3 linked regions of the Drosophila melanogaster genome follow. The protein of the gene in region 1 interacts with the protein of each later gene in a biochemical or structural test. Each region holds a gene or a part of one and is shown on either strand. Other genes may lie near its edges.

Evidence for each region.
Region 2: of the proteins of Mcm3 (region 1) and lok, one has a biochemical effect on the other in vitro, tested with the Drosophila melanogaster proteins (one study listed by BioGRID).
Region 3: of the proteins of Mcm3 (region 1) and grp, one has a biochemical effect on the other in vitro, tested with the Drosophila melanogaster proteins (one study listed by BioGRID).

What each region holds. Positions count from the first base shown.
Region 1 is NC_004354.4:5,320,862-5,328,693, forward strand, and holds Mcm3 (minichromosome maintenance 3), read left to right. Parts: upstream 1-2,993; 5' UTR 2,994-3,135; coding exon 3,136-4,494; intron 4,495-4,557; coding exon 4,558-4,791; intron 4,792-4,865; coding exon 4,866-5,732; 3' UTR 5,733-5,877; downstream 5,878-7,832. Other genes in the region: Rnp4F (RNA-binding protein 4F), read right to left, coding at 1-642, 701-876, 958-1,466, 1,529-1,546; CG3309 (uncharacterized protein), read right to left, coding at 6,445-7,248, 7,308-7,832. UniProt on the Drosophila melanogaster protein: Acts as a component of the Mcm2-7 complex (Mcm complex) (Mcm complex) which is the putative replicative helicase essential for 'once per cell cycle' DNA replication initiation and elongation in eukaryotic cells.
Region 2 is NT_033779.5:20,059,582-20,067,726, forward strand, and holds lok (loki), read left to right. Parts: upstream 1-1,840; 5' UTR 1,841-2,139; exon of another isoform or gene 2,140-2,200; 5' UTR 2,201-2,295; coding exon 2,296-2,482; intron 2,483-2,566; coding exon 2,567-2,724; intron 2,725-2,963; coding exon 2,964-3,072; intron 3,073-3,152; coding exon 3,153-3,590; coding exon of another isoform or gene 3,591-3,604; exon of another isoform or gene 3,605-3,737; intron 3,738-3,796; coding exon 3,797-4,031; intron 4,032-4,090; coding exon 4,091-4,394; 3' UTR 4,395-4,800; downstream 4,801-8,145. Other genes in the region: barr (barren), read right to left, coding at 1-771, 831-1,142; vls (valois), read right to left, coding at 4,805-4,991, 5,044-5,420, 5,478-6,017; bwa (brain washing), read left to right, coding at 7,180-7,317. UniProt on the Drosophila melanogaster protein: May have a role in germline establishment.
Region 3 is NT_033779.5:16,677,145-16,684,969, reverse strand, and holds the start of grp (grapes), read right to left. Parts: upstream 4,917-7,825; 5' UTR 4,694-4,916; intron 4,521-4,693; exon of another isoform or gene 4,320-4,520; intron 4,265-4,319; exon of another isoform or gene 4,252-4,264; coding exon of another isoform or gene 3,526-4,251; exon of another isoform or gene 3,317-3,525; intron 3,152-3,316; exon of another isoform or gene 3,072-3,151; coding exon of another isoform or gene 2,604-3,071; exon of another isoform or gene 2,568-2,603; intron 2,468-2,567; exon of another isoform or gene 2,352-2,467; coding exon of another isoform or gene 1,878-2,351; exon of another isoform or gene 1,680-1,877; intron 1,361-1,679; exon of another isoform or gene 962-1,360; intron 473-961; 5' UTR 363-472; intron 1-362. Other genes in the region: CG33552 (uncharacterized protein), read right to left, coding at 1,878-2,351; CG31807 (uncharacterized protein), read left to right, coding at 2,604-3,071; squ (squash), read right to left, coding at 3,526-4,251; her (hermaphrodite), read right to left, coding at 5,995-6,327, 6,389-6,652, 6,721-7,587. UniProt on the Drosophila melanogaster protein: Serine/threonine-protein kinase which is required for checkpoint-mediated cell cycle arrest and activation of DNA repair in response to the presence of DNA damage or unreplicated DNA.

The sequences.
Region 1 (7,832 bases):
AGTCCGAGCGCTCCATTAGGTCGAGGAAACGATGATTCAATTGTACACTGGGATGACTGCGCACACCACGATTGGCCAAATCGAGTTCCGTGTTGCGCAGAAAACCTTTGCCCAAGCGTTTGGCCCGTTTGGCTACCATTTCGGCGGTTACCTCATTCTCATCCTCATTCTCCGGCACAGTGACGCCTTCGAACTGAATGAACTCAATGTAGGATAACCAGAGCACATCGACAATGGGAAACTTGGCCACCGAGCGTTCGAATATGAAACGGATCACAGCGTTTTTGAGGTCATCGTCAAGGGATAATGTCTCCACATCGTAGACATGAGCCTTGTGTTGCTCAGACCAATCCCAACCACGCGTTGTCTCGTCCAGATGTTGCTTAAACTTGTCCACAACGGACTTGATCATCTGCCGCTGCTCCACGTTGCACGTCCAGGTGACGCAGTGCTTTTGCAGCATTTCCACAAAGGCGGCAGCCTCATTTTCGTCCGTAATTGTCGATATCAGCGAACGCAGCTTGTCGCCAAAGTCTGGACGCTCCACGTCGTAGTCCGCCAGCAGTTTGGCCCACAGCACATGGTTCTGTACGTTGCCCTGATCCACCAGGTAGTTGACAACGTATTCGGACAGCGGTATGCCTGCAATATGTAACTCGTCAATTGGTTTAACTACGAATGGATTCTATCTATCGCATACTGTAGTAGTAGCCCAACGCTTTGGCACACTGCTCCTCGAATGCCTTGCGCTCCTCGTCCGTTTGGGTGACGACCAGGCGGGCCTTTAGATACTTCAGCCACACGTGAGCCGGCACAGTGGCCAAATTTTGCAGCTCCAGCACCGATGACTCGATCTTTTCCAGATCATTCAGTTTGCTGCATTAACGAGCATCAACATTAGCTAATGCCGATATTGAAAAAATGGAAAATGGGAGTGGGAGAAGCAGGCAAACTCACAATGCGATTCCAATGAGCGAGACCATTTGGGCAAACTTTTTGCTGGGCAACGCATTCAGCTCCTGATACGAGCGCTCTAGCTGATTTCCGCCGCCAGCGTTGTCGCTATCACTGTCACTGTCACTGGACACCTCACTGTTCGATTCCAATTCCGAGCCTTCGATCACGCCCACATCATCGCTACTGCTGCTGGAATCATTGCGCGCTCTGCCACGGCCAGCGGCATTGCCTCCCTCAGTCTCCTCCACTGACGGCTCGTCGTCCGATGAGATCAACTCAATGGTGGTCATATCCCCGCCGGCGGACGACGGTGGCCAGGTTGGGCGCGATCGTTGGCGCAGCTCCTCCGACTTGTGCTCCTCCTCCTGCTGCGGCGACTCACTGTGCCCCTGCTGCGGCGAGCCCTTGCCCTGATCGGGTATCACGATCAGATCATACTCGTCATACGCATCGTCGTCCAAATCCTCTGCCGGCATCTCGTCCAGCTCCTTCTCCAGCTGCCTTTCCAGCTGCAATATATTGGGCATACGCATAAGGGCGGCGCCTATTGGAGCTATAATCTGACACTCACCTGCTTGTCGGCGTCCATGCTTCAACCGTTTATTTTGGTGGAAAACTTTTCGCTTTCCGTGGAACTGCAATTTTTCCCCCCCAAAAAAAATACAGGAAATAAAAAAACAAAAAAAAAACCGCAAACGCAGGGCTGGCCAATCTAATATCGCGTTGTTGCGCTTATCGTGGAAAATTATTTGGTTTCAGGTTTGGTTTCCCTATTGGGCACTTTTTCTTGGAAAAACTTTCCAAGCACTTACTTTCTGAGAATTCGGTTAACGAAAACTTATCATTTTCTGTCAAGAAACACCGGTAAAGTGTGAATAATATGCGAATTTTTTTTTCGTTATAACAGTGTGACCAGTGCGTAATATCGATAGCTGTGCGCACTCGATAGTTGCGGCAGTCCAGACAATGGCTGTGTTACCAGCAGTGCAGTGAAGACTCGTGATGAGCAATTTGAAGACTAATTTCGGTAATATGTGGTCAATATTAACTGGTTTCTTTGGGCGGTCAGAAATGTATAGCAAAGTCAAATGATAAACTAAATCCTACCAAGAAATATAATTTATTTTAAACATATATATATTTTATAGAAATAAATAAAAATGGAATTTATTTTACTTAAGTGCTATATATATATGTATCATAAAATGTAAACAATTTCTGTTTCTTTTACACAAACTATTTAATAATAATAAACTATTTAATACGCAGCCACATCATAAATGGATTAAGTGTAGACAGTACTCAGGCAAATAATAAAAATATTATACCATTATATGAATGGATTAAGTGTGGACAGTAATTAAGCAAATAATAAATATATTACTATATACTATAATACTATAATAGGAATTGATTAGGTGTAAACAGTAATAAGTCATATAATACATATATTGTATATATTATAGGATATAGTAATAATAATATAATAATAATTAGGCAAATAATAAATACAAATATTATACTATTATAAGAATGGTTTAAGTGTAATAATATTATATATTATATAATAATTAAGCAAATAATAAATATATAATACTATTATAAGAATGGATTAAGTTTAAACAGTAATTAGGCACATAATACATATATTGTATATATTATAGGAATGTATTAAGTGTGGACAGTAATTTAGCAAATAATAAATATATTTTACTATTATAGCAATGGATTAAATGTAGATATTAATTAGGCAGATAATAAATATATACTACTATTATAGGAATTATTTGATAGTTTTCTATATTGTATGCATTACAAATTAAGTCAGATGTTCGGTGGAAACGTTTTAATTATAAATTTGCATATCAACGTATATTTGCTTATATTAGTTAGTTTGCTATGTCCACTATGTTTTATATAATAAAGTTAATAATTATATGTAAATATATAAAAAAAGGAAATAATTATAGCATATATATTTTGCCCGCGCAACCAGTCTTCAAATGCCCACAGTATGGTCACACTACGCTTTTCCCGCGAAAAAACTTTGCATTCGGCGTGCAATTTGCGACATTAGTTTTGTTTGCATTTGCGTTTGCCTCCGAACGGATCGAAGTTGATCCATAAGCGAAATCGAAAGAAGTTTTGTGAACTCCAGTGTACAGCTTAAGTCACAGAATGGCCCACGAGGGGGAGCAGTTCATCAAGGACATACAACGCGAGTATGTGGACTTTCTGGACGACGAGGAGGATCAGGGCATCTATGCGGGCCACGTCAAGGATATGATCGCGGAGAAGAGCAAGCGCCTGATCGTGAATGTCAACGATCTAAAACGCAAGAATCCGCAACGTGCATTGGGGCTACTGAGCAACGCGGCGGATGAGCAGCTGGCCTTTGGCAGGGCGCTCAAGGAGTATGCGTCCACGGTTGATCCGGGCTATGCCAAAATGCATGAGGATCTGTTTGTCGGCTTCGAGGGCTGCTTTGGCAATCGGCATGTGACGCCGCGCTCCCTCACCTCCATCTATCTGGGCAACATGGTGTGCGTGGAGGGCATTGTTACCAAGGTATCGCTGATTCGTCCCAAGGTGGTGCGCAGCGTTCACTATTGCCCCAATACGCGTAAGGTAATGGAGCGCAAATACACCGATCTCACATCGTTCGAGGCTGTGCCATCTGGCGCTGCCTATCCCACAAAGGACGAGGATGGCAATCTGCTGGAGACCGAATACGGTTTGTCCGTTTACAAGGATCACCAGACGCTGACCATTCAAGAGATGCCCGAGAAGGCGCCGGCTGGCCAATTGCCGCGTTCGGTGGATATTGTGTGCGACGACGATCTCGTGGATCGCTGCAAGCCCGGCGATCGTGTACAGATTGTGGGCAGCTATCGCTGTTTGCCGGGCAAACGCGGTGGCTACACCTCGGGCACGTTCCGCACCGTGCTGCTGGCCAACAATATATCGCTGCTCAGCAAGGAGAGCAATTTGGACATATCGCGCGAAGACATCATGCTGTGCAAGAAGCTAGCGAAGAATAACGACATCTTCGAGCTGCTCAGCAAGAGTTTGGCGCCCTCGATTCATGGACATGCCTATGTGAAGCAGGCCATTCTTTGCCTGCTGCTCGGCGGCGTTGAGAAGATCCTGCCGAATGGCACACGCCTGCGTGGCGATATTAATGTCTTGCTTATCGGCGATCCTTCGGTGGCCAAGTCGCAGCTACTGCGCTACGTCTTGAATACGGCACCAAGGGCCATACCGACAACGGGTCGCGGATCCAGCGGCGTCGGTCTGACGGCGGCGGTTACCACGGATCAGGAGACCGGTGAGCGGCGATTGGAGGCGGGCGCCATGGTCCTGGCCGATCGCGGTGTCGTCTGCATTGATGAGTTTGACAAGATGAGCGACATCGATCGCACAGCCATTCACGAGGTGATGGAACAGGGTCGTGTTACCATTTCCAAAGCGGGCATCCATGCCTCGCTCAATGCTCGCTGCTCCGTTTTGGCAGCCGCTAATCCGGTGTACGGAAGGGTAAGAGTCCATCCGAATCCGTCTGTTCATCGCTTTTCTTGCTAATTTCGTCTTCAATTCCAGTATGATCAATATAAGACGCCGATGGAAAATATTGGACTGCAGGATTCGCTGCTTTCGCGTTTCGATTTGCTCTTCGTTATGCTGGACGTGATTGACAGCGATGTGGATCAAATGATTTCGGACCATGTGGTGCGCATGCATCGCTATCGCAATCCCAAGGAGGCCGACGGCGAGCCCTTGTCCATGGGCAGCTCCTATGCGGACTCCTTGTCCTTTGTTTCCAGCAGCGAGGAGGTGGGTTTTCGTCGAAAGGCACGATTATGATTGTGTATAATCGATTGACATGGTCTTGAAATTGTATTTTACAGAAGAAGGACACCGAGGTGTACGAAAAGTACGATGCCCTGCTGCATGGCAAGTCGCGTCAGCGTCACGAGAAGATCCTATCCGTGGAGTTCATGCGCAAGTACATACACATTGCCAAGTGTATGAAGCCCAAATTGGGCGAGCAGGCCTGCGAGGCGATTGCCAATGAGTATTCGCGCCTGCGCTCCCAGGAGGCGGTCGAAACGGATGTGGCACGCACGCAGCCAATAACGGCCCGTACCCTGGAGACCCTCATCCGTTTGTCCACGGCCCATGCCCGGGCACGCATGTCCAAATCGGTGACCATCGACGATGCCCATGCGGCCATCGAACTGGTACAGTTTGCCTACTTTAAGAAGGTGCTGGATAAGGATCGCCCCAGCAAGCGTCGTCGCAACAGCGGCTCCGATGCGGAGGATGACAACGGTGAGGCATCTAGCCAGCGCTCACCATCGCGACGCTCCAAACGCACACGCACAGCGACCGTCGGTGCCGATAGCGATGAGGAGGATATTGAGCCACCACAGCCGGATGCTGGCGATTTGACGCGTCGCGAAACGCGTCGTTCTCTGCCCGCTCGCTCGGTCGCCATGCTGATGGCCAGCCCCTCCAGTGAGGAGCAGTCGGTGGCCACATCGACCACGGAGCCGGCCATCATTAGCGATGCCCGCCTGGGCGAGTTCAAGAACAATTTGCAGCGACTGTTTCGCGAGGCACGCGAACAGAGCTTGGCGCTGGCCAGGATCACCACGGCCATCAACGTTGGCAGCCAGGAGCCGTTCACCGCTGGCGAAATCGAGGCCGCCGTGCATCGCATGACCGAGGACAATCAGATCATGGTCGCCGACGATATAGTCTTTCTCATCTGATCGCGCATTCCAAGGAGCAACAATCGAACGAACGATTGCATCCATCAATCCATCCTTTATCCATCAACCATTCTAGCGCTTAAGTTGTCATTTTTGTTTTGTATTTATATAAAAAAAAAAATAAACACTTTGGAACTCCCATTGCAATCCACGGAATATGTACGTTGGCATAAGGAAAGGCTGCAGCTGTTGGCTAATGTATTATAGTTAACTTATATTTGACATAAACAATTTAAGCGATATACACACAAAGTTGCACAACGGTTTTAAAAGAAACAAACTGAAGGTATAACCAACTGGCTTCACAACTCCCATTCACAATCAGTAAAAAGCTGGAGAGGAAGGGACTGCAATGTTGTGGTTAGTGGTTTCAAGCTGCAGCCACATAGATATTATTGGCATGGTTTTCGACATTTTGAGACATGAGCATTGTTTTCGCATGGATGTGAAAATATGGAAGGGACACATCGATTACATTTAATACTTGACTTGTAGTTTGAACTAACAACATTCATCGCTTCGCTTGGATTCACTTTAGAATTAAACTAGACACAAATACGGCGACTAATCGCCGATTAAAATCTATTTACACTGATAAAGAGCACCGCCAGGCACAATCACACAATCACAGGATACTAGCAGACAGATGTGGAGCAGCCAAAGTGATAAGTGGCAGAAGAGAAGGAGGAGGACGAGGATTGAGCTACTACCATCAAAGATTCACCACATTCTTGAGATCCGGCGGCAGCAAGCCCTTCATGCACTCAATCTGGGCGCGTATCTGCTGCTGAGTTGAGCCATTGTTGCCCTCCAGCTGCGTGGCTTTGTCGCCATAGAGATTCAGTTTTTGCTTGAGCTTGAGTATCATATCGATGATCTCCACCTCCTGCTTGTCGTGCGCCCAGTGCTCGAGATTCGCCACGGATAGCGCCTGCAGCTGTAGATCCTGCAGCGTTAGCTGCAGCTCCCGATGACGTGCACCGTACCAGCCGCGAAAATTGGGCGATCGAAAGAAGCGTCTGTACAGGCCCTTCCAGTCGCCCTTCAGCGGCGACGTTAGCTGCGGCCCAGCGGTTTCCAGCGTGCCCAGAAAGTCATCCAGCTTAAAGCTGTTGGCATTCGGCGCCGACTTAAACGGACTGATGTCCTTTTGCAGCGGCATCAGTGATGCCATATACCGTTCCAGTGGTATCATAAAGCTTTGCGTCAGCTCGAGCAGATGGCGTCGTATCAGTGCGGTTTGCACATGCTCCGGCCGCTTGGTCTTCATGCCCAGCAGCACCTTTTTGATCAGCGCCTTGTCCTTTTTCAGGTACGGCCTATATTTACTGTGCAGGCCCGCGGACGAGGCATCGCCCGAGCCATTGCTGGAACTGGAGCTGCCATTGAGATTGGTGTTCGATTTCAGTGCTATACGGCCACCGAGTTCCGTTGAACTGGAAAATGATGTGGCCGATGCGATGTTCCTTGCGTGTTTTTGGCCCAGCAGCAGATGCTGTTGCTGCTGCATGTTCTTCTGAAAACGAGCAAGACGGATATATTTTGTATTGCGTTAACTGGGATTGGGACACTCACCTGGTTGTCCACCAGTCGCAGCATGTGCGGCCAATCCTTCAGGAGCTTCACAAAGAACGGATTCGTGACGCCCAAAATGCAGGCGGGCAGTGTGGTCTTGCTGCTGCACTCTTGTGTGAATTCGCGAAATTCGCTGTCGTGAATGGTGAAGTAGGGACGCGCCTCGGCGCAATACTCCAGCGGAGCAATCATGGCCAGAAGGGTCTGCACCATGTGGGAGCAGTCGGCGGGTGAGGTGCCAACGACAACAATGGGCTCGGCGGTGATGACCAGCTCCCACAGCGTGTACAGTTGCTCCATGACAAAGTCCAGGGAGCGGAAGAGTTCGATTTCATTAACGGAGGCCAGCACTTTGGCTGCCGGGCAAGCAGCCATGGCTGGTGGCGATTCCACCGCACCACCTGCGATGCCTCCATCGGCCGTCGACTTTCGACTGCTGCTGGTCCGCGGTATGCAGATCTGATAGCTGCAATCCAGCAGAGGCAGCTGGAGCGGCTTACCCACTCGCAGGCCGGGCCACTGGCG
Region 2 (8,145 bases), on another chromosome or scaffold:
CAGCACCAGAGGCGGTGGTCCATCCAGGTCCGGCATGGGCTCACACTCGGCATTGATGTCAAAGGCCATGGAAATCTCATTTACACACATATCGTCGGCATTATCCAGACCCTCGTCATGATCTTCATCCTGCACTACCTCGGCGGCCTTTTCATTTGCCGACTTGGGATTGGGAGCACTTGTGATGATGTAGCCCGTATGCAGCGGTCGCAGATTTGACCTTTCAGCATGTGGCAGCAGTTTGCGCATAAGATTGGTGCTCATAAGTGATGTGGCTGGCCATTGTTCCATTTCTGCATTGAGTGTAGTGTGGTCCTGGACCTCCTCGGTGGACTCTTCGCTGTTCCAAAAATTGTAGGTGGTACGCAAGCGCAATTCAGAGTCGAAACTAGGAAGAATGTTGTGCATCAGACGATTGGAAGCATTTATAGAGCCCACAGTGGAGTTCAGCTTGCCAAACACAGGATCCTGCAAGGGAGCCGTATCCAGCCGGCTGTTCAGCGTTTCTCTGTTTTTGGTCACGGTGGATATGGGTTTCTTTTGCCGTTTGGGCTTCGGTGCTGCTTCTTTTGCTGCCTGTTGCGCTGAGTCCTGACCCTCGCCAGTAGCCTGTTCACCTTGGGGGCCATCATCATCCTCGGCAGCATTTATTTGCTTATCCGTAAGAGTTCGTGCACTCAAGCCAGCTGAAATGCGCATGGCGTCCAAGTAGATGGAGTCCACACGCAGGCCGTAAACCTTGGAAGAGGCTTCTAAAGAGGAACCAGCCATCTAGGGTATAACATCATGAAATTATTACATTTACATAAACTGAATGAGGCAAAACCCACCTTGAAGTTGCTCATGCGCTTGTGATGGTGATCCAGCAAATTGGCCAACGAATCGATGAGCATCAGGTTCCAGGCGTTGTCCTTGCTCACCTTGTTGCCATTGTAGAGCTCCAAGCAATTTTTGATGGTCTCATTGTCCTCGATGGACTCCAGAGTGCTCGACCGGTGATGCTGCTGAAGGAGCGTGCGACGTCGGGCTTCCCGCCTTTCCGCCTCGTCGTCGTTAAAGGGGGTTAGCATGCGGGACACCCCCTCCTGGTAACTGCCTACTGCGGACCGCCTGAGCGGAGTTTCTAAGCGGGGCAGAGTCATCCTTTCAAGGAAGTGGATAAATCAGAGATGAAGTCAGAGAACAGCACAAGGAATTTTGGTTGCCGTAGGCTGATGGTTTTGGAGAGTGTTAATAAGCACACTCACTTTTAATAATAGCTGTGATCCCAATTCGACAGTTTTGAATTTTTTGTTTTTTGATGATTTGTTGATTGTATTTTGTCTATTTCTGTTTTTGCGCTGGTATTGGTAATAGTTTACAGTTTCTTTCAAACGACGCCGCAATTTAGGGCTGCATTTCAGTGTTGGTTAAAACTAAAGGTGTGCCAAGCTAGCTAGATAATATGGACAGGAAAATCGCTAAAGAATTAGCTATAAAGTATTGCGGAATATAATTAACTAGTATAAACATGATACATAATTTTATCATATGAGAAAAATGAAATAAACAAACTTAATTTACACCTTAAAGCTTCGAAATCGAATAAAAACACGATAGCTTACAATGGAATTTCTTTAAGTTCAGGGCTGCACAGGTCCTGCCAGTGCTGAATGGATTTCAACAATGGATGGCCGTTAAATTTCAAATACATGTACCATATTAAAGAAACTACGATCTGTAAAGGAATTAATCTGTTTCAATACTTTTAGTTTTTTATATAATTTTCAGTCCGGTAGTTAATTAGTATTTTTTCTTTTGACAATAAAGTCTTAACCTAAGCAATATTTAATTTGTAAAAACCCTTAATTTTTCCTTGGGACTCTTGCCAACACTGGCGCTGATAATCACCCCATCCCTGGAAGGCGGCAACTTTTACACACACTGCCGCAGAAATTGTAGTCCCTCGCGCAGTTCACATCGAACCAATGTCGTGATTTTTGTTAGTTTTCGTTGTTTTCGTCTGATAAACTCTAAATAACTATCAGCCAGCGCTGTGCGAAAAGCTCGATGTAATCGAATTGGGCAGAAGAAACGCTCAGAGATTCAAACCCATAGCTTCTATAGATCTATAGCTTTTCCGAAGATCGGACTCCTCGTGTATGTGTGCATTTCTGCCTGTGGTAGTGCTGGAGTAACTGGACATTTCGAATTTACGCAGTTCCAGGCAAACCTAACGGGTTTTCCAGTTCGACTTGCGGAATAGCAGGAATACGAGATTACGGGGCTACGGAGTTTCGGAGTTTTGGAATCACTATGGCACGCGACACACAAGGAACGCAGGGAACCCAGAGTCAGGCCTCCAATATCTGGACGCAGGTGGAGAGCCAGCCGATGGAGAAGATAGTCTGGGGTCGATTGTACGGCAAGAACATTAAGATCAAATCGCTGGGTACGAGTTCAAAATACCGAATCATTTATACGCATTCGTCCTTTTCTGTTGGTAACCACATTTCCTCCTGTTTTGTGTCCCCATTGCGTGTGCTCCTCATGTATTAATGACGATCCCATGCTGAACTGTTTGCAGATCTCAACAACGACGAGTTCACCGCAGGACGAGGGGAGGCCAACGACTTGATCCTCACGCTCAACGATTTGCCCGAGAAAATCCTGACGCGCATTTCCAAAGTGCATTTTATCATAAAGCGGGCAAACTGCGAACTTACCAATCCAGTTTATATTCAGGTAGGTGGAAGTTCCAAACCCAAAAGCTCTGAAGGAAGCCTTGAAAAAAAAGATAGCAAATTCAGAACCCACAAGAGCAGAATTCAAATTAAGTTTTATTTATGTTTTGTTGAGATTATCAAAAAAGGTAACTTCAATATTGAATATTTCCCACAATTAATTTACAAAAAGAAGTTACTATTCCGTATAATTCCGTATATTATTAAAATGTAGTAACCTTGTTTCCGCCCATTTCGCAGGATCTCTCACGCAACGGGACGTTTGTGAATAACGAGAAAATTGGCACAAACAGGATGCGAATCCTAAAGAATGACGACGTAATTTCCCTGTCCCACCCAACGTACAAAGGTAAGCGATCGACAAGCAGGTATAGCTATCGACAAGGACTCGCAAGTAATTTGATGTTTTGCACCTGCCCTCCCTTGTAGCCTTTGTATTCAAGGATCTCAGCCCGAATGAGTCGATCGGGCTTCCCGAGGAGATTAACAAGACGTATTATGTAAATCGCAAGCTGGGATCTGGAGCGTACGGACTGGTGCGTTTGGTCTATGACACCCGCACCTGCCAGCAGTTTGCGATGAAAATCGTTAAGAAGAATATGCTCTCTGGGGCGCGACCCAGTACCAATTTCAGTGATCCCGACCGGGTGCTGAACGAAGCCAAGATTATGAAGAATCTTTCACATCCGTGCGTGGTTCGCATGCACGACATCGTGGACAAGCCGGATTCTGTGTATATGGTGCTGGAGTTTATGCGCGGCGGCGACCTGCTTAACCGGATCATCAGCAACAAACTACTTAGCGAGGACATCTCGAAGCTTTACTTTTACCAAATGTGCCATGCCGTCAAGTACCTACACGATCGGGGTAAAACAAATTAGTTTTATTTGGGTTCGAATGTGTTGCTGATTAAGCAAGCCGTTCATTTCTGTTATGCAAATAAGTAAGTCTTCGGAATGGTCATTGAAAACGCCCTTAATTGCAAATCATTCCTGCGCCTTTACGAATTTGCTAGTACGACTACTGCGAACACATCAATCGAATTATTCAACTAACTAGTTTCTACCTTTCAGGCATCACCCATCGTGACCTTAAGCCTGACAATGTTTTGCTGGAGACCAATGACGAGGAGACCCTACTGAAGGTCTCCGATTTCGGGCTGAGTAAGTTTGTGCAGAAGGACTCGGTTATGCGCACGCTCTGTGGCACACCTCTCTACGTGGCCCCTGAGGTGCTGATTACCGGCGGCCGAGAAGCCTACACCAAGAAAGTGGACATTTGGAGCTTGGGAGTGGTGCTATTTACTTGGTAAGTCATTATGTTATTCTCCTACGAAGATAACTTAGCAATATACTCATATCTTGCAGCCTGAGTGGCACTCTGCCCTTTTCGGACGAGTACGGCACCCCGGCGGCCCAGCAAATAAAGAAGGGCAGATTCGCGTATGGACACCCTTCTTGGAAGAGTGTCTCGCAGCGCGCCAAGCTGCTGATCAACCAAATGCTCATTGTGGATCCCGAGAGGCGACCCTCAATCGACGACGTTTTGCAGAGCAGCTGGCTGCGCGATGCGCCCATGCTGCAGAAGGCGAAGAGGCTGATGAAGCTCGATGGCATGGAAATCGAGGAGGAGAACTTCCTTGAGCCACCCACCAAGCGATCGCGACGCTAGGTTTCGTTTCTGTGTTTCCATCGTTAATACGTGAGGGTCGAGGCGCGAAAAGGTTTTAATTTTCTGGAAAAATTAAGCGACAACATTTTTCCCAAAACGCCGACACCGCCGCATCCGAGTGTATTGGCGAATTTAAGTATTTTTTGCGGTTGTTAATTTTTACGTGTTGTCTAGTGTAAGTTTCATCGCCCAAGCCCGGTTTATCCTGTTAAACTGCATTTAAACTGGGCTGCTGCTTCACAATTTTTTTAAGATTCCTATCGATTTGAATTCTGCCATTTCATTGGACTATTATTACGATTTATTACTTGTAACTGTTCAGTAACTATAAGTGTTAAATGTAAGAATGACTCTTCAGCAAACCATTCCGCTTTTTGAAATAAAGCAATTGAATTTGTTCGGCAGCAAAATTATTTGATAGCGTGCGTCACCATTTTGCGGCCATGTCCAATGGTGATGAGGGTGCTATCATCGGTCCAAACGGCATCAGTTAGGCGAGAATGGGTGTCCTGGTGCGTGTAGATGAACTCATGGCCCGCCTGCACATTGGCCACTTTCACGGAGGCGGGCAAATTGCTCATCGCAGCCAGATGGGGCCTGAAAATATGTGCGTTAATGCAAATCGTCATTGTTTCGCTTAAACTTGTACCCATTGATTAATAACTGGGCGACATGGCCCTTGTCGAAGTATTCCCTGGTTTCCGCCAGTTTTCGTGGCACTCGAATGTCCAGAGTATGAACTTTGCCGTCATAGTCCCCGAGATAGATGTGATTGTCACCCTGCAGCTCCGAGGCAGCTGCCCAGGCGGCACTGGTGAAGCTCAGCACGTGGCTGGCATCCGCATAGAGGCACGTGGAAGATGGAGCCGCTGCCCGGACATCCCAAAGGCGGGCACAGCCGCCACGATCACAGGTCACAAATTTATCGACTGAAGCTGCGGGTGTGGCCAGGCCAGTCAACTTGTCGGTATGCGAGGAGCGCGATCTGTAGGTGCTCACCATATCGGCGCCCGAGAGATCCCAGACCTGCAAAAGGGTAACATTTGTATATTTTCCATACATCCACATCACCTTTATACATACATTGAGGGTACTGTCCGCTGAGCCCGAAACGGCAGTGCGGGGATCCGCCTTGAAGACGCTCAGTTGGCTGATGGGTGTGGGATGCGCACTGGACTCGCCCACGAGGAAGAGGCAGTATGGCGACTGAGAATCTCGCACCTTGGAGTATGTGGACCAGGCCTGGAGTCGGGTATCCCCAAGGGCCACCAGTAGGAAATCATCCTCAGCGTAGCGCACAATGTTCACCGTGTGCTCCGCCTGCAGCTTGAAGTTCGCCGAGTCCACGCTCATATGGTGCATCTGGTCGCGTCCGTAGCCGAACAACATGCCCCACCATTGGCGTCCTTCGCGTCGGTTTGTGGCCAGGGCCAGGTGGTTGTGATCATTGATAGCGATGCTGTCCCAGCAGTCGTGCAGTCGCGGCGAAAGGTTTTCCAATCGCGCGTTTAGGTCCGCAATGTTGAGGTTCGGGTACTCCAGATTCCCGGCCAGCTCCAGTGCCGGCGGAGGCTGGTGGGTCACCGGAGTGCGGTACAGCTCCGAGCTGCGTTGCGGGAACATCGTCTCTCACTCAAGATTCCGTAAAACAACAGAGAATCGGCCAGCAAGGAAGAGCAACGAGCCCGGCAAGACCAAATACATCGATTTGTGTACCAATCGAAATATCGATATTATTAGACATTAATATTAGAGATAATCGCGCGAGCTGGATACTCTGGAGTTTTTTTTTTTTTTTTTTTTGATTGGTTTATTCAAAATGAGTTCGTTTATTCCGATTAATATCAGTATTATGAACTCGGAAAAATGTATACTGACCTATTTTAATAATTTTTAATTGCACTTCTTCACGAGTTGAGATGAAAGTGTCGATTAATAGAAAGACTTTGAAAATACGTTTTGCAAGTTTTTTTTAGCATTTCTATTTACAGCTTTCATTTTCAAATTGAGCAATCTTGGTGCGCATCATCACTAGGAGGACATCCAAAATTATGATAGTTAGTCATTTATAGATTGGTCAAAGGATTGGTTAAAGGTTCAGAACACGTTCAGAATTCCTTACTCATTTTTGATAAAATTGTGAAGGATAATTTTCAAGAACAACACTTTAAAATGCCATAAAGAATATATTTATTTATATAACAATAAGACTTCCGATACAGGAGTTCCGAAATCGCCAGGCGGTAATTAAAAAAAGAGAATGGCGCACTTTACAACTGCAAAGTTTCTACATTACGTTTACATTTCACATTGCTTAACGGTATAGTTGTGAGCAACGGTATTTTTTAGGGGATTTCCCGCCACTATGGACATTTACCGTTCGCTTGCAAGCGGTCACACAGTTGTTATTTTTGTTTATTATTATCGCGTCGCTCGTTGCGCGCTGGTTTATTTTTTGAAAAGTGCGTTCCTAGCGCGAGTGGTCAGCGTCCCAAACGTCGTAGATTCCATCGCCTGAGCCATCAAGAACTAAATATTTCCTTACATAACTGCGGAATACTTCGACTCTGCAGTAAGCCACGCGACGGAAGGCAATCAACAAAGACACGCAAGTGCTTGCACACTGGGCTATTATGCAAATTGCGCCACTGCAGCTGGTCTAAGATTGCAAGGAAGGGCGACAGAGCAACACACACACACACAAAGTGCCTGGGCAGAACGAGCGGAACCGCCTCCCCAATCAGCTGTGATCTCTGCGGTCGGGCCTCCATCGAGTGGGCGGAGAATGGGCGGGATGGGGGGCGGCGGGCTGCTGGACATCTACGCCATGGCCTGGGAGCACCTAAGACCCGGAAGCTCGCCCGTCGACTGGTGCGAAGGCAACTACTTGATTTCGTCCAACATCGCCGAGTTCGTGAACACGGTGCGTATGTGCGATTTATTTAACGTTGTATGTAATTTGTGCGCTCTGCTTTCGCTGCCCCACTTAGTTGTCCCCGCAGTGGTCGTAGTTGCTCTTCTCACCCCTTCGCAGACAGCTGCTAGTTTTCCCTTTGAATAGGCCTTGACCTTTTTAGAGCGAGACCGACTGGCAACGTAAACAAAAGATGCTGTTTGCCACGCTTTGTTTGCGTTGGTGTGACGATGGGCTGGGGGTGGGGGTCATTTTCGCACCCGGAAAATGCGACACCCGGAAAATTCAGTTTTCTTATCGCCCTGAGCTTCACACCTGTCCGATCGATATAAAACTTGGTATTGCGGACAGGGCAAAGCATAATGAACACTTTGTCCTCGGACTGGAAACTTGTGTCTCTTCAGACTTGGCCGCTACACGGACTTCAAACTAAGTCCTGCAAGGGCTAGCTTCTCTCATTTGGTTGTTATCATCTCTTTCATATATAATATGATTTATATAACTACTTTGAACCCGGCTGTCCGATGTTATTAGATTTGAAATATGTAGATTATACGCTCGCGATTTCATTTAGTTAGTCAGCCGTTTGCATTTGTCATTATAGTAAAACAGCCTAAACAAATAGCTGTGCTGGTGGTAATGAATGGCATCCGCATTAATATAAACGTTCTTACAATCGTAACTCGTAACTCAATATGTGACGGGCTCACTTTCATTAGGCCTTATCAAGGTTAATCGTCTGAAGCTAACCATTGATAGAAACGCTGTTTACGAAAACAACGCACTAAAAGTGGATCAAAACAACATTTTTTCTGATATTCTAATTAACAATATAAG
Region 3 (7,825 bases), on another chromosome or scaffold:
TTCTCAACTTTTCTTTTTTAAATCTTTACAAATACTAATACCCATATTAAAATAATAGCGAAATAATGTAACTTAAAACTTTTCTAACCCCACAGTGCCCGAACGGGAGCTCTGTTCGTGGCAGCAGAGGCTGAAAGCCGGCTACCGGCGAGGGCTGTTGCTCCTTTTTCTTTACTCCACTCTTCCATCAACCATTGCACAGTGGTATCGGTACAGTAAATTTGAGATTTTATTTTTAATTGAAAAATTATACACAAATAAAAGATATCAACCTTTTCCAATCCTAATAATTTTATATTTTAAACAACAAATTAGGAATTTTTTTTTGGTAAACGTTTTAAGTTGCCCTGTGCGCTGCTTACCTTTCGGCAGCTCCAGCTTCAGTTGATGTCGCATAAAAAACTCTCGCCACAACTCGAGTGCGTAGGAATTGGAGTGGACCTTGTAAACAAAGCTGATTGGGAATCACTACCTAATATAGCGAAATTTGAAACATTGAAATTGGATTAGGGGTAGGTATACAAATTAAAGACACTTGAATGCGCTTAAAGTATAAACAAAGTTAAAGCTTTGATAAGAATGCGCGTCAAGAGAAATCAAATAGAACCAACCAAAAATGTTTTCATATTTTTAATGCTTTTGGTTTAAATGCAGCAATCTAACAATTAATACAAAAAAAGATTTCAGTTTGGTACACTTTAACGGATATTTCGAAGTGAAAATTTGGGTCCACCCGAAAAAAAGTGCTTGCACATTGTACATATTTATTTTAATAGCTTGCGCCATTTGTCGAATTGCTTCTTTATTTTTGATTTTGCTTCGTCTTTCACTCATCGAATAAGACCGCGACTCCAGACTTGTTAACATACAACCATACATATGTACATATAGAGAGACCCCCCCCCCCCACATCATCTACAGTTTTCACCACCATCCTTTGGTTTGACTACTTTTCGCTGACAACATCCATATTTATTTATGTACGTATGTATGTATGTAGGTTTGTTTGGATATTGATGTACAACTGCGTACAATAGCATCAGGCCTATGCATAAAACACAACAACTTCAGCATCCATTTCACCACTTATAACAACAAAACTTCTGCTTGACAACCCCGGCGAATAGAAGAAAAGGGAGCGAAGTAAGGAAAATCGCAAGAGAAGAAAAAAGGAAACAAAAGACGCACGTGGTTGCCACGGAACTAAAAACTTTTGGCTGCGTGTGTTCGTGAGTTCACACTTTTCTCGGGCGGGAAGAGAAGATGCACGCGAAAATAAACGGGAGAGAAGCAGCCACCACAAAAAGGAGACAGACAACTCGCACCGCCAAAACTCAGCACAAGTTTGCTAATTTAGCCAGTAAGTTACTGTAGCCTGATTCAATTAGTCAGATAAGGACCTTGCTCTACATTAGTAAATGCACTAAAATATTTATATTTTTAAGCAATACATATGTACCTACATTAACGTTATTATTTAACTTGATTCTTTTACTACTACTACTACACTACTTTTCAAATTCCCTCTACTTTATTACGTGAGCCACTTTCTCAATGTTATTTGGCAAACTCTGCGACAGATTATTGCTTAATTGATAATAATAGTTCCCGCACACAAAAACAATAACAAATTATTTATGTATGCATATAGTGGAGTGTGGTTTATTGATTAAGGAATTACGGGGGGTCTCACTCCACTTGCGATATACGCTTGCCAAATGTTCAAATCATCTATTGATTGAATAAGGGAAATTGAATAAAAATTGAGAAAATGATTGTGGTGGTTTAATTATCACAAACATACAAGAAAATATTAATTTCTCTTGTTTCTTTTGCTTGGGTTTTTATTTTGTCCAACTTCCCAGCAAATGTAATGTTTACTGTAATAATTCAGCCGTGCACAAATTTTGACCTGCTATAATAATGCGAACATCCATACAGCGGATCATCTGTGATTTGCAGATGGGGCATGTCTTGTTACGCTGCAAGTAATGTAGTATGCAATTCGCTCCAAAAAGGTGACCGCATTTAATTGAAACTGGGCGATGGTCTCCGGTAACCTCATAATTCCATTTGCAAATGTAGCACTTGTTCTCTTCGGCGATCTTCTTTCGTTTCATAGACAGGTTCTCCGCTTGATTCGCAATCGCGTCCTGCGCCGCTAGCCTCAGTCGCAACTCCTTCGTTATGTTCTTCTCCTTGTCCAGTTGCAGTCGCAGATCAATTAAACGCTTTTTGGACTCGAAACTATCCTTGATGATTTCGTCCTTTTCTTTGTTCCGTTTTCGCTGCTTAATGACCTCAACGATGAGTTTTTTCTTGGTCATCTTTGTAATATCTTGTTTATCCATCTCGTTTTCGATGTGAACGATTCGCAAATATTACAGTCGAGTTTTATTTTGAAATGGATTTTTTTTTTGACAGCTGTAAATATGTTGGCTGTGTTGGAAAATGCAACACACAACTAATTCTAATGATTACAAGAAAAAATAATTTTGTTCAATCTAGGCAGTCCACGCTTAAACCTTCACTGAGAAGACATTCGTTCTAAAAGTGCTTGTCTAAAAAATTCGTTCACCTTGTAATTTTAATTTCTTTACAATATGCCCAATAACAAAGCCCAGACTCGCTCGTTGATGAGGATGCTGAAGAAGGATGTTGTTGAGCAGCTCTTAGCGGAAAGGAAAAAAAGTGAGCAAAAGGACAAGCAACTGGCGAAGCTAAATATTACAACTCAAGAGAAGGATAAAATGCGCGAGGAGGAACTCAAGCTATATTACCAAATGGAAGAAGAGATAACCAATCAGAAATTATTGCAAGAGCAGTTGTTGTTCGAGTCCAAGGACGAATTAACACAGCAGCTTGAGAAGATTGCCATCGAAAATACTTGCTGCATATGCCTGGATCCTTGGGAAGCGAAGGATCATCACCGCTTGGTTTCGCTTAGATGTGGTCACCTTTTTGGGGAGATGTGCATCCGGACCCACTTGCAGCATGCCGATATGTGCCCAATATGCCGCAAAGTAGCTATTGAAAGAGACGTCTGGCGTGTGTTATTAAACACGCCATAAAATTATTTTCTATAAATACGATGTTCTAGCTATAATATAGTGCGTTGATAAGCGCGATCGATTTAATCGATAAACATAAATTTTAATACCTCGATTATATTTCCGACTATATTCCAATTTTTTCATATTTAGGAGGGGATACAATTGAATAATTACCAAATGGTTTGGGAAACATGCATTTGCAACAATAAATTAATATAAAAAAATTCATTTAAGGATATATTGAATTCTACAGCACTAACATTCCTTTCGCATTTAATTTATTAAAATAGATAAATATTTTGTTTACCCTATGATATCAAGTATTTTTCTTTCTATTTGTAGAACTGCATCCAATATAAATTCGGTTTTCTAAACGACGTTTAAGCCGTTTATTTACATGTTACAGAAGCTTATATATAAAAAGTGATTGATTTTTTGGTTCTAATAATTGCATTCCCCGTTGGTTCCTCCTTCATTCATTGAATTGGTTTCCAAATTGGACTGGTGATTCCACTTCCTGGTCGTAACTCTCCGCAAGCTGTTTGTAAGGTACTTCGAGGTATTTCTCCGACTTTGACGCCTTGATCTCGCCCTGCTTCTTGCTGCTGTCCAAATCTGAAGCGGCAGATTCATAAAGGCTGAAGGAACTGATTGAACTATTGGCAGTATGATACGAACTACTGGAACTGGAATTCTTCGTTCGGGGAATCTTGCGTGGTTTAAAAAATTCGGGGTCTGTGATGAGGGGAAATTGTTTCCGTCCGTTTCTTATAATTTTAATGGGTCCTTCTGGTGGTTTTACTTCGGGCAGAACGGGCAGCGAATCTGTTGCCATGGACATCATTCCGAAGTGACGCATCATGGCTAACGCCTCTAGCTCATTTGTGCTTTCATCCTCCCAATCTTTCATAGTGGCGTGCTCGCCCAGCGGCCTTGTGCCTGCTATCTTCTGTATGTTCTCCATTAGCTGAAGGCTTTGCCGAATATCACGACCAGTTCCGCCTCTGCTTCCATGGATATTTTCGAGCTCGGAATTCCTCTTTTCCCGGGACTTCAGATATTCATATGTGCATTTCGGTCGCGGCCAAAACTCCCCTTGCTTCTTCATGTCGTAGGCCAGTTGACCATGGACAAAATTGAAATCCGGCTCCATGTCGACCAGATCATCCTCGAACTGCGAATTGGGAACCCATGCCATGATCGTGCGTTGTCTTAGGCGAAATTTATTTGTTAATTTTCTGACATCAGACATAACCTAAAACTCACCTAACAAAAAATACTCCGAGAACTCGCCATGAAAACAATTGAACAGCTACACTGTCAACAAGTTCTCAGAATCTGAGACTGAATGTTTACTCCGTTATTTTCAAAGAATAGTTTCAGTGCGACCATTCACCATTGAGCACGGAAATGCCGTAAGAATTATTAAGGCTGTGGTGAATTTAAGTGCACCGGTGTGCGGTGAATCTTTTGCACACCGGTGCGTGGTCAAGGTGAATAATATTGCGCCAAAAAGTTAAACAAAAGGTTAAGGAAGGGGGAGCGGGGTGCAGCAAGCAAGTCATTAAATAAACAAAGGGTAATGCCCCACGAATCAGCATATATACATTCCTAATTTATGCACCACTATTCCAACTCACCAGCAGCGTCTTTTCCGGCCAGCGCGTTTTACTGTTGTTGCTACGTCTACACAAATTTGGGATTCTCGATTTGGATTATTAAACTTTTTTAATTCACTGCTTTGCAAGACACTATAACAGCGACCGTGCTCTTATTCACACTTGGAGTAACTGAAATGCAAAAAATTCCGCAAACGCTGCTAAAATATACTTTAGTTTGCGATAGGGCTGGAGCAAAACTGGATGCACAGTGCAAGCTATCGATTTCTCCAGTAAATCGCTGATATCGATGGTTATCCGTTTCGGATCCCAAGTATCGATCGTCGAAAATCACAAGGCACATAAATTTGTGATTTCAGTATTTAGCTGATTTTATTTGTATTTAGCTTAAAATCATTACAGTATTTAGCTGTTAATATTAAATACACTTTTTTAAATATGATTATTATCCGGTACTATAAATAGTCATATTTAAAATAATATATAATTATTGACTAATTGTTTTTAATTTTCATTGAATTTATTTTTTCTTCAATAATCGATCGTAGTGTAGACATTTTCAACACACAATTTATTGAATAACACAATTCCTAAAATATACTCGTTACTCGTAGAGTAAAAGGGTATACTAGATTCGTTGAAAAGTATGTAACATGCAGAAGAAAGCGTTTCCGACTATATAAAGTGTATATATTTATATATAAGTATATATTCTTGATCAGAATCAATAGCCGAGTCGATCTAGTCATGTCCGTCTGTCCGTATGAACGACGAGATATCAGAAACTTTAAAAGCTAGAAGGTTGAGATTTAGCATACATATTCTAGAGATAAAGACGCAGCGGAACCCATGTTGCGACGCCCACAAACCGCACAAAACTGACACGCCCATATTTAAAAAAAAAATTGTTGGATATTTTTCATAATTTTATTAGTCGCTTAAATTTCTATCGATTTGCCAAAAAACTTTTTGCCACGCCCATTCCAACGCCCTAAAGCCGCCAAACCGGTCACGCCCACACGTTTGAATTTTTTTTAAATTTTTTCACATTATACAATATTTATTAATATCCCAGAGGATTAAATTTCGCGTTCGCATTCACACTAGCTGAGTAACGGTTATATGATAGTCGGGGATCTCGACTATAGTATTCTTTCTTTTTTAAACTACTCCTATACTTGTTTTTGGGCTTAAATTAAAGGTTAATTAACTAGTTTTAAAGTACTTGGGATTTTCTTAATTCGTTTACTTTACACTTTAAATAGTAAACAACTTAATGGTATTCTTATACAAATACCAAAGGGATGATACATTTTTTATCATCAAGTTTGACTTAACGTGCCCTGTTTAGAGTACATGTCCTTGATTATCTGCATGCGAGTCATTCGAGTCGCGCACAGCCAGGAGTCCTTAATTTGAAATGCCTCGAACTGCTTGCGATCTTCCTTGAAGGGTTTGTAGTAAATGTCATAGATGATGCGCAGGATGCGTTGCACATTCTCCTGCGACGGCTTCTTTGAGTGCTTTGCAAATGTTTGGTTCTTTTGCATCTTTGTGTACTTGCCATCATCCCACCAATCTGGAAAATCTGTATCTGCATCGCCAGCTTTAAGGTCCTTCTTGAGTTCCGCTTTGGGACTTATGTGATGTACAGCCTTTAGTGATAAAAACATTGTTAGGAAAAGTTCGTTTTTTTCGTTTATAGTTCTTTCTTACATCCGGCGTACTCCAACTCCAAGCCAGATCGGTCAGCGATGATTGTTTTATTTTAACTGGTTCCTCTCCGCTCAGCATTGGCACAAGAAACTCATCCTGCTGATCTTCTTCGGCAAGGGACATGGCCAACTCATCGTCTAATTCGTCCATTTGCTGCTGGACAGAAATTGAAGTGCTCTTTATGGGCAGCTCCAATTTTGTTGGAGCTCCCGGCGGTGGATCTATTGACTGGAACCATCGCAACTGGCCATCAACGTTGACAGCCTGCAAACATTGTAAATGTTGTTAATGATTGAAGAGCGAATTTAACAACTACATTTTGCAATGCTTACGATGACGTGCTTATCCCGGATGTCTCCATGGAGAATCTGCGGGTTGCTAATGGTGATGATGGGCGGCTGCTCCTCCTCCTGCAGTTCCTCGTAAACAAATTCCAAACTTTCCTCGTCGTATTTCATACTGCCTACCAGGGCTTCTTTTAAAGGAATATTTCCGTGCTCCAGCTGCTTATTCAGCACAGGACTCTGGTCCTCCAGCAACTGTTCTTTCTTTTGCCTTTGTTTCGGTTGCTGATCCCTCAGCATTTGCACCTTCTGCTTTTGGTCCTTCAACTTTAGATTCTTCAAATCCTGTTTCTCTGTGATCTGATATTTTAGCTTATGTTCCTTCAGCATTTGCTTCTCCAGCAGCATCTCCTGGCGCAGTTCCTCCGCAGTTTGAATGGCCTCCTCTATGCCCGAATGGCGTAGCTCGTGGTGCCGCTTGAGATTGGCCTTTCGGTCGGAGCTGTAGGTGCAAAGGGAGCACTTAAACGTCCTGTGGCTCTTCTCCGGATTGTTGTGCACCATCAAGTGGCGCTTGAGGTCGTATGGACGATTTGTCTCGTATCTGCATCCCATCACCAGGCACTGCAACTTGGCATTGCGATCCTTGTGCTGCGCTTCCGGAGGGCGCTTTTTGCACCCAGGATGTTTGATAGACACGTGCCGCTTCAGGTTCGACGCCTTGTCGGTGTTGTAAACGCAAACGGGGCATCCGTATAGCTTGGACTGCGTAATACCAATGTGGGACTCCTCATGACGCGCCAGATTGTAGGGTCTGTTCGTCCTGTAGGGGCACCTGTCCACGCTGCAACGGAATTTCCAGGCCGAGCACGATCCATATTCTTCCTCCACCGAATCCCGATCCGCACTAAGCATTGCAAAAGTCCACAATAAGACCACAATATTATTAATGCTACAGGTCTAGCCTGGTGTTTGGATATCTTGGGAACACACTCATTTCGGTGGATCACTAAACTATCTGTTTTGGGGTAAACAAACTGTCCGTATTTTAATTAATTTTAATTACATGTTTGTTTGTTTAGAGCACATATCGATTACTGTTCGTTGATATCGATTATTCAACAAAAGTCACGGGATACGAAATTCACAACTA